2 linked regions of the Caenorhabditis elegans genome follow. The protein of the gene in region 1 interacts with the protein of each later gene in a pairwise test. Each region holds a gene or a part of one and is shown on either strand. Other genes may lie near its edges. The genes, in order: Y106G6H.6 and srv-4.

Region 1 (4,981 bases):
TGCAAGTTGTGGCGAGATGTGAGTACAAGTCGAGTGAAGCTTGAGCAATTGCTTGAAGGCTCGTGTCTTGCCAGAAAATCGGCGAAGAAACCAAACCGGCTGAGAGTCCCGTGGCTCCGGAGCATCCAATTCTAAAATGTTCAGTTATTTAGAGATAAATTTCAGATAAAACATACGAATCTTTTTCAACGAGTGCCACCTTCTTTCCCCGTTTCGCTAGGTGATAGGCGATTGATGTTCCCGATATTCCACCGCCACACACCACGACATCAGCGTTGGCGACTGCTCTGAAATCAAAAAAAAATTCTTCAAAATTTCAACAGAAAAAAAAGCCGAGTTTTGATAGAATTTGAATTTGTTCTCGCCGTAGCAGCTGAAATACAGTTTTTATTAAATTATTACTCTGATGCATATCGACTTAAAATGTACCTGAATCGACTTATTAATGCGACATTCACGACACAAATTTGCAATTAAGAGTGAAAATCGCTGCGACAGGGACTATTTTACGAAACTTCAATTTTAGCAAAACTTGGTTTCTTTTTTCATAAAAAATGTCGCTCGTTTCGTGCCAGTTTCAGTTATTTTCAGGTTGAAATTTTTTTCAGCGTAAAACAGCTTTGAAGTCGCTTTTTACATACGTTGTGTAGCTTCTTGCCCATCTCCACCTCGCTAACCGATGTCCAATCATCACATTTATGTACAAATCCTGAAAAATTGCTCGAATTTCTTGAATATAGTGAGAAGTACTTTCGAAAGAAAAAAGTATTTAAAACAGGGTGTATAGACCCTTTATTCTAACTTCAATTGAATGTTCTTGTAAAAATTTATATATTTTTTACGTAAACGGCAAAAAAGAACGACGCGTTGAAACGATGATGAGATGAAAGAAAAGAGAAAAAAAACTGATTATTGAAACATAATATTAGAGCAAAATGAGAATCTGTAGATTCAGGATATAACTTAGTTAATGACAATCAATCGATCAATTATTATTAATAAACGATTCGTTGTAACATTGATTCGAATCGCTTGAACAACTTCATATTTCCCATTAGATGAGCCAGATTTAATCCAAGTAAAGCCACGTTTTCGAGCATCACTTCGTCGAGTTTTCCTTCTTTGAGAAGCTTCTGAAATAATAATTATTTAATTTTTAAAATTATCTCTTTTCCTTTCAAAACTTACAATAACATATTCATGTGCCTTTAGATAGTTCCGTTTTCGCATATATGCCATGACTACCAGCATAGTTGCTCGCTGCCGTGCTCGAGCACATTTTGCAGCATTCATCACTCGCAGTGCATATTCGATTGCTCGATTGTAGCGTCCTATTCCGATCATTCCTTCAGCTTTGTATGTTAGAAGAATCGCCAAATCATCCTGCCACTCACCGGCTCGATCGTACCGTTCTACGGCGAAATTTACAGCTTCTATGGCTTCCCTGGAATAAAAAACAGTGGGTTAAGAAATACATCATCGCTTTTTTCCCAACATGGGTCCGAAAAACCCAAATTTTATGATTTATGAGTTGATAAGAATGTATTAGATTTCTATTGCCGAATTTACAGTATTGCAGTTGCTGGAAATTATTTAATTATCACTCATTTTTGCACATTTTGGTTTTTTTTACATGTTTTCTCGTGGATAAGACATTTTAAACGACTAAAAACCCCGTCACAAGCGGCCAAAATATGAAAAAATAATTATAAGTTGACGAAAATTTTAGGTTGTCATGAAAAAAAAATTAAAATTTTCAAGACGATTCATTTCAAAAATAGGGATTTTAGGGCGTTTTGGGGTCAAAAAAATTCGTTTTTTTTTCTTGAAAATTATTGCTCCCGCTGTAGCAGTAGCACAAATAAACATTCTTTTTGTATCTAAAAGGCAGCTGAAACTTACGAATATTTTCTTAATTTGAGAAGCATGAATCCGTGAAGAGCCGCTGCAGCATAATGGACAGGTTCTCGGCTTGATTGTTTTGCCAAAGCGAAGCACATCAGTGTAGCTGTTTCAGCGAATCGAAGAGTCATATCCGGATGTCGAGGTCGCATTTCGTTGCATCGCCGCCGTACCGATGGCATATAATGATGAGGTTGCTTTTCGAAAAGACGATCGTAGATATCATTGAACTCCCAAGTCTCCTGAAATTAAAAATTAAAGTTAGTTGTTCAGATGGTGCGGAGATTCAGAGAAGTGTGGCTCTCTTTCTTTCGGAAATTTAGATAGAAATATAGATATTTCCAATTTCTGAACATAATGTTACTTTTAATGCTCGGAAAGAAATTCCTGAAAAATAGCTATGGGAGAAATGAATTTTATAAATTTTCCGCCCTACTCTGCTGAGAATGATCAATTCTCACCTCGTAATACTCATAAATCAAAGCTTCTGAGATCCGAATCCAGACGAGAACATTGGTGTTGAAGTATGGAATACATGGCCGTAATCGTTCGAACATCTCTCGATAACGTCCATCGTGATGTGCTTCAAGACCTCGGCTATACAGCAACAGAATGTCGCGTACGGCGAGGTCCGCTGGGCCATGCTGAGTGTATAATTCCTGGCGGCATTATTAGGGTCCATTCAAATAGGGGAAACGGGACGTTTTTTATTGTTTTAAAAATTTTGGCTGGGGAGAACAAACTAGCATTAAAAAGTATTTATATTCTTACCTCGGTAACCATCTTCCGCATTGCAGATTGCTGCTCTTCTGAAAGACAAATTGCGCGACGTTTGAAACTTCTTTTCATATGGGATATCCATTGGGATGCCATTTTTGACGAAACCGTTGTGGCCGTACTTGAAAGACCAGTTGACATACCACTAACTTCACACCCTTGATTCATTCGAATATTTTCCATTATTTCGCTGAGATCTGGATCTTCCGACACACGATCTTCTATTAGCTTGAAGCACTCGGCAGCTCTTTGGAACTGAAAATCATGAAAATTTGGAAATTTTGTGGGTTAAAATGTTAAATGTGGAGAAAAACTATTTAAATGTGTATTTTCCGCTGAATTAACAGCAGAAATTCCCGGGTAGATCAAATAATGTGCAAAACGTACACTGCCTTCCGCTCCGTTTTCCGCTTCGATTTCTCCAACTATTAAATCAAAATCAGACATATTTTCAGGCATTATCGGAGATGACATTCTCCTTTCCCTTCGTTCTTCTTTTGGTTCCGTCATGGCAGAGCTTCCTTTTATACTTTTTCTCAGAAGCTCTGCAAGCTCATGCAGTCGTTTTTCCAGGATTAACGGGAGAGATGGAGCGAATAGCTGAAATTATAAATATTTCTGACAAAAATGAATGTTTAAATACGTATTTATCAAATAAACGAAGAGAAAGTTGAAGTAAAATGAGAAAAAGGAAAATGAATTTTAACACAAGCGGAGTACTGTATTTTTTAAAGGCGCATTGTTGATGGAACACAGCGGCTCTCGTCACGATATATATTGTGTTCTCCTCGTGGACAAAATTTAATTAATTGTTGCATTATCGGATTTTCTATTTGTTGACGGTTTTTCATTATTATTTATTTATTTTTTGCAAATTAATTTACTTTAAAATCTCATAATTTATTTAAAGAAAAATAAAAAAAATGTGTTTTTTCCAATTTCTAATAGAAAAGCAAGTGTATCCATGCGTATTACACTGCCCAGCGTGCTCCCGGCTATTCGCGTTCGATATATTCGCGACCGGCGGCCGACGTCAAATGAAAACCTAGGCCGTTGTGTGATCAATTGTTTACTTGTTTTCTCGTACATTTTATTGGGCGAAATCACATATTAATAAACTTTATTTCAGATTGAGAGCTTCCTATGAACGAAAACGGGGCTACTCCGGTGGCGGCCGCTAGAAGGCATCGACCATTGCCTGCAGAGAGAGCAACATCGAACGTGAGCTATCGAAAAACGGATTATTAGTTTAAAATTGATATTTCAGTCAAACGAAACGGGTCTTTTAATAAATGTAATCCGATCACTAACATCGTCAGTTTCGGAAGATCAACGAGAAGTAGAGAAATCGAGATTAGAAAAAGGATATAAAGAATCTGGAGCACTAATCGATCGTTTAGTTAAAAGTAAAACCTTTTTTATTCTTTCAGCAATACATAAAATTGTTCAGATCATCAACAAGACGTCGAAAAATGTTTAGTTTCATTTCGAGATGTTTCTTCAAAAATATCAAGTAAGAGATTAAATTTTAAAAAAGTACTTTTGAATTCAATTTTCAGATTGTCGAGAACGTATTCACAATGTTCGGAATGCCCTACACACAGTCAAAAGCTTATTGGAATTACGGAGGGATGACCTGAAAAAGCTGTGGCACGAGAATGCACAGCAAAAATCAGTTTGCGAGATTATGGCAAAATTGTAAACAAAAATTAATATTTAATACACTGAAATTTCTATATTTTTCAGAGAAGAACTTCGAGAAGCTCCATCAAAAATCGAGAATCTAATCTCAAAAGAACAATACCAACAGGCAGCTGATACTGTTACAGAGTCTAGTGAGTTTTTGAATGAAAATGATGGAGAAAAGAAATCGAGAGAGAGAGAGATAGAGAACTATAAAATCGCTGCGGCCCTATTAGCGATGGGAATATTCGCGATTTTATGTATTTTACATTTTTCAGGAGAGCTGATAAATGGACGATTATCACGAGTGGAAGGGCTTTCTCATTTATCCGCAGAAATTGAACGATTTACTAAAATTCTCATCGATAAGATCAATGATACACTTGTAAACATGTTAGTTGTGGAGCCTTTTGAGAAACACGTGAGTTTATAATTATTTAAAAAGTGGAGTAACGAAATTTGGTCTCAAAATGGCCTAATATCTCAATTTTCCCATCTTTTCAATATCACATCGGTGTTTTTTTTTTCGTTTTTTCAGTCGTTGGGTACACAAAACTTGAAATATACCATATTTAATGAATAAACGATCAAAATTTGTAATAAAGCGGGATAATTGCAA
Region 2 (5,330 bases), on another chromosome or scaffold:
TTTATGGAATCTCTTTAAACTGTTCTTTTTTGAAGTTTTTTCCTCGTTTTTTCAAAATATTTTCAAAAAATTGCCTCATTTTTCTAAATAGATATAGAAAAATTCATATTATGCGTACAGTTTCGCAGACTAAAATTGAAATTCTAAAGCTTCAAAAAAGAATGTGCAAAACAACAATTTGCCTTTTTTTTCGGCAAATTCGGCTAATCGGCAATTTGCCAGTTTGTCACCCACCGCTGGGTTACATAACATAACTTATACGGCAGAGTACGGCTATTGGGGAAAGAAATACTGAAACTTTAAAAATGTAAAGCACAGGCGTCTTTTCGAACCCCTACAATTTTGAAATATGAATATAATTAAAACATAAAACAGGTAGAAAAATGTTTTTTGATCGACGACTTCCAAAAAATAGGTATATTTTTGATTCGACAACATTGAAAAACTATTAATCATTTCCCTAATGAAGAGAGTCAATGAGCAAATAATATCAAACAACCCTTCGTCAAAAATCATGCTCGCATTATCAGAGTAGAAAGAAAATGGCAACATTAATACAGTCTTTGGTATCTATGCAAACAGTTTCGCAACATTGATGATAACAGACCTATAACTTACAGAAAAAAAGATGGAGCATGTCAATTCTGAAAGTGTTTCTAGTTAAAAAACGGGTTTCATACTGTCTACTTCAAATTGATATACAATTGTTTTCTAAAAATTTACAATTTTTTTTACAAGACTATTCACAAATTAAAACACAAAAAAAACATTGCAGTCGAGTAAAAATATTAAAATCTAGTAGACAACATTGAAGAAATATTTTCCTGTCGTTTTCTGCATCTGAAACTTTGAAATTTCAAAATTATTTTTAGTTTTTTTTCTTAAAAACCAACCTTTTCGGTATAAATTCCTTTCGCAATTTTGAGCTACTCACTAGTAAGCTCCACGGAGAACTGATGCACATTATTTCCGTAGTGAAGAACCTGGGAAAATGAAATGTTCGTAACTTTTTGATGTGAAATTCAAATTCACCATGTTTCAATTTGCGTATCCATCAATTTTAAGCTCGAAAGCTCCAAGTTTCACAAAAAACGGTGTTTGGTACGCAATCATTCTGCGTTTGCGTACTTTTGGCGCTACAGTGATCCGGAAGTTTTAAGATTCTCAGAATATGCTTTCAAATTGACAAGAGTTGTGAAATTTAGAATTTGGTAGTAATTTTTCAGTCATTTTCTTCAAAACTTCGGGATAAACTTCATTATTGTTGTTTTTTTGAAAATTTTTCATTTAAAATCAGTTTCGTGAATTTCGGTGTTTGGTACGCAATCGTGCGTACTCTTGACGCTACAGTAGCCCCAAAATTTTCAAATGCAAGCTAGGGACTTCTCGTTTTTTGGAATTCCACTGAAATTTGACAGAGATTCTTGGATTGAATGCAAATTTGGAAAGTTCCAGTTCCAAACTTGAATTTCAGCAATTTTTCTCAAATCCTACCAAAGTTCCGTTCCAATATCCACCAGTTGAGGATTAGTGGAGAAATATAAAACCATTGTTTTTGCGAAATTTGGCACAAACAGAACAAATGAGAAAAATGCACATTTGAAAATAATTAGGTCTGTTGGTGGGTTGAGATTTGAAGATTCCGATCGATTAATACTGAAGAATGTGTTTGACATCTGAAAGTAATACTGAATGAACTGAAAATTTTAGGTAAGAAGTTTGTATTCGCTGTTATTCAATTAGTCTTGTCGAATAATTTCAGCTTGAAAGCTCTCAGTAACCTATGGTGTTTGGTACGCAGTCACTTGGTTTTTGCGTACTTTTAGCGCTAGAGTAACCTAGAAATTTTTAAATTAATGCTAGAAACACCTGGTTTTTTTTATTTTGACAGAAAACGTTTAGTTTATGCATTTCAAAATTTATTCTCAAAAGTTTCAAGTGTGTAAAAAAATTTCGTTTGACTACAGGTGTAATTTCTTTTCGAAATATTCATTCTTGAACTGACAAAATATATTATTTATGTTTATATTTTTTAGATTTGGCATTACATTTTAAGTTATTAATGTGATTCCGGGAACATTTTGGTTTCTCTGCTCGAGCATGATGTATAATTAGAAGTTTTCTTCAATCTCTAGGTGTTTGCGTACTTTTGAAGCTACAGTAACCCACAGTTTTCGGCAAAGTCTGCACCAAATGCACAAAAGTGATGAGATACAAAAATGAGCTGACCAGGAAGCAAAATATCGATAAAGTGAGGTCCTGGAGCACATCTAGCTAGAAAAATTTAAAAGTTAAAAAAATTTCAGACATGTCAGACTTTGATGAACTCCGGACTGGCGCGTAGAAACAATCCGCCAGAAGGGGCAGCGATGAGTGAGAAATTGTGATTTCCAGTGTAGAATAGTGGAATTAATACAATTGTTGGAGCCAGCCATTCAGATAAGTAAACTATTAGGATAAGGGTTGGAGACCAGAACTGGAAAATTTTGAATGAAAGGAAGTTGCGTAGAAAATTGGCGTTTAATTGTGGAGAGGGGGCAGAAATTCGACGGAAAGTAGGTAGAAAATTGATGAAAGGTTACAGAAAGTTGCAGAAAATCGCAGAAGGTACAAAAAGTTGCCAAAAAGCTATAACAAGTTACAAGAAGATTTGAAATGCTCTCAAAAAATTGCCAAATAGCTACAGAAAGTTGGATAACAGCTACAACAAGTTTCAAAAAATTATAAAATGCTGGCAAAATCTTCATAAAATTGTGAAGAAGGTACAGAGTTACAGAAATTACAGAAAATTAAAAAAAGCTACAAACAGTCACATACAGTTATAATAAATTTTCAAAAAAGCTACAGAAAGTTACAAAAAATTACCAAGAACGCACAAAAATGCCAAAAAGCTACTTCATAAATCAACGACATGGCTCTTCACTTCTCCCGGATGCTCAATGGATTCCTCCTGAAGCTGCTGGGCTCAATGGTCAGCACACTGCAATGATGAAGCTGCTGCTGGATGCTCTTGCATGACTGGTCATCACGATGCACATATGGAACATCTGCTCCTGCTCGGACTCATACAATCATCAAACAACTAGCCACTTGTGGAGAACATAAAGTCGAAGTGATCTTTGTGAGAAAATGGTTGTTTTAAATAAATTTTATTTTCTCCAAAAAAAAAATAGCTACAGAAAGTTGGTAAGAAGCTACGAAATTAACAAGCAAATTTCACAGGACATTGACCTAAAGAGCTCAACATTTGACCAATATATATGGAAAATTCTATTAAAAGTTCACAGAAAATTACACCAATTTCTCATAAAGCCGAAATGTACCTTTACATGATTCCTAAACCGAAATATCTCGGAGCACCGATTGACGGCAACTACCGTATACCCTAGGAACATGGCATTTTTGATAACTGTCAATGAAAACCACAACAGCTGAGGAATCCAATGATCGTTTGCTGCTTCGAATAGGTTATGAACTCGGTATTTGCGTGGGCGAGCAACCAGCTCCACGTATAGGAACATAAGGAGGTCCGTGATAGCCTAAAATTCTAGGGGTTTTTTAAATTTGCTCAATGGGAAAATGGACCGATGCAGCATGATTCTAAGGCACTGTCCCAAGAAGAAACCTCTCAACTTACATGCATCCTGATAATCAAGAAAAACGACGATTTGAAAACATTTTTTCTTAATTGGTGAATAATATACAAAACCCGCAGGTACAAAAACACAGAAAACCAGCATATCGGAATAAATATCAAATGACTTATTGGGAGTAGACTTAGATTTATGGAGAGCGGCATTTTTAGGACATCAACCAAAAACACGTGTCATTCCAAGAAGATATGAAGAATGGTGGGAAAATAAGAAAAGTTGAGAGAGAAAATTTGAGAGATTGAGAGAGGGTGAGCAGGTGATTTTTGTGTTGTGTTGGGGAAAATTGGAAAAAGGAAAGTAAAGTATTAAACAAGATGGCAACAAACATTAATTTCAACGTTTGACGAGACCAGTTTGTTTCACATGATCCCGAGGAATATCATTGTTCTGACTAAAATTGTTGTGTAACTATACAAAATTCATATACAAATACAAAAATTGCGAGAACGGAATATTTTCTCATTCCCGCATCCAGGACAAGATTTTCGGAAAATTTGAATAGCCGAATATATTAGCTAACAATGTATGGGTCTCTTCATCGCTTAACACTATTTCCTCGTGGCTCGCTTCCGCAGGATACCTGCCGCGAGTCAACTTGCCTGTCAGGCGGCTAGCCCCTTCCTTGCTCTTCTCATCGTTTAGCATTTCTACTATAATTTGAATTATCCCAAATGGATAAAGTTCCTTTTCAAATCTTGAATCTACCACCTAGACAGCTGAGAAATGCTTTGAAATCGATGGATCTGTTATCTTTGTGAGTTCGAAATTAAATCCAAAACGATGAACTGTAATTTTAAATTATTTGGTAAACAAGTCTAGATTCGTTAATTCGACTAATTAAAAAATTTTGAGTAACCTTTTTGACAGAAAATGCCAGTAAAAAATTATCTATGCAAATAAAAAATGGTTTTTGTTATTTTTAGAACATGATTTATTTTCAGAATCTGTCTCTCCTTCACGTCTGGAAACTCAAAAATCCTTCGTTTTCACAGATCCATCAAACCGTGATCGTATTTTTGCGGGAATGTTTAATAACCCACATTCATTTTTGAATGGTGTACTGCCAACCGTCAGCAAATGCACTCCAACTCAATTCCGATGAGTTAATCCGAAATTGAAGGTGAATGAATTTGTGATACATTTGTATATTCCATCAACGAGTGGTTGATGAGGTCTACCTCAACAAGAACAGTTTTCGGTGGATACAAAAAGAGCTGCACGGATTGGAATTCCAATGTCTTCACTTAAAACCATTTAAAAGGAGTACTTCAAATCTGAAAATGCTGAAATCAAATGCTGAGCAAATCGTCTTTAAAGGGTATCCATTACCCGACAATTCAATTCAAACTTATCAAGAAGTTCAAGAAACCTTTCAACACAATCTTAAAATTCTTGAAATCCCATCCAACTATCCTCTAACTCTTAATGATTTATTGATCATCAATTGTTGTATTTTACGAGTCAAATGCATACTGACTCCAAACGTACTGAACTTATTCATAAAGCACTGGATGAACGGGTCCAACCCTTTATTGAAACATTTTTCGGCGAGAATATCAACAGAACTAAACCGCCATCTACGACCATTCATAAATAGACTACTAGCTGGTTTGAAATATGAGACGACAGTTCTAGAGTTTGAATTGAATGCCCAAGAAAATATTGCAGCTCAAGAAG

Evidence for each region.
Region 2: the proteins of Y106G6H.6 (region 1) and srv-4 interact in a two-hybrid assay, tested with the Caenorhabditis elegans proteins (one large-scale study listed by BioGRID).

What each region holds. Positions count from the first base shown.
Region 1 is NC_003279.8:10,442,855-10,447,835, forward strand, and holds Y106G6H.6 (TPR_REGION domain-containing protein), read right to left. Parts: upstream 3,190-4,981; coding exon 3,067-3,189; intron 2,935-3,066; coding exon 2,674-2,934; intron 2,562-2,673; coding exon 2,364-2,561; intron 2,145-2,363; coding exon 1,903-2,144; intron 1,445-1,902; coding exon 1,189-1,444; intron 1,134-1,188; coding exon 996-1,133; 3' UTR 813-995; downstream 1-812. Other genes in the region: pdpr-1 (DAO domain-containing protein), read right to left, coding at 1-131, 177-287, 642-691; sec-8 (Exocyst complex component 4), read left to right, coding at 3,823-3,900, 3,947-4,085, 4,130-4,192, 4,239-4,377, 4,426-4,514, 4,641-4,783.
Region 2 is NC_003282.8:4,284,634-4,289,963, forward strand, and holds srv-4 (Serpentine Receptor, class T), read right to left. Parts: upstream 3,800-5,330; coding exon 3,638-3,799; intron 3,540-3,637; coding exon 3,324-3,539; intron 2,477-3,323; coding exon 2,318-2,476; intron 2,275-2,317; coding exon 2,170-2,274; intron 1,677-2,169; coding exon 1,495-1,676; intron 984-1,494; coding exon 894-983; intron 841-893; coding exon 789-840; downstream 1-788. Other genes in the region: F15E6.5 (F-box associated domain-containing protein), read left to right, coding at 4,934-5,330.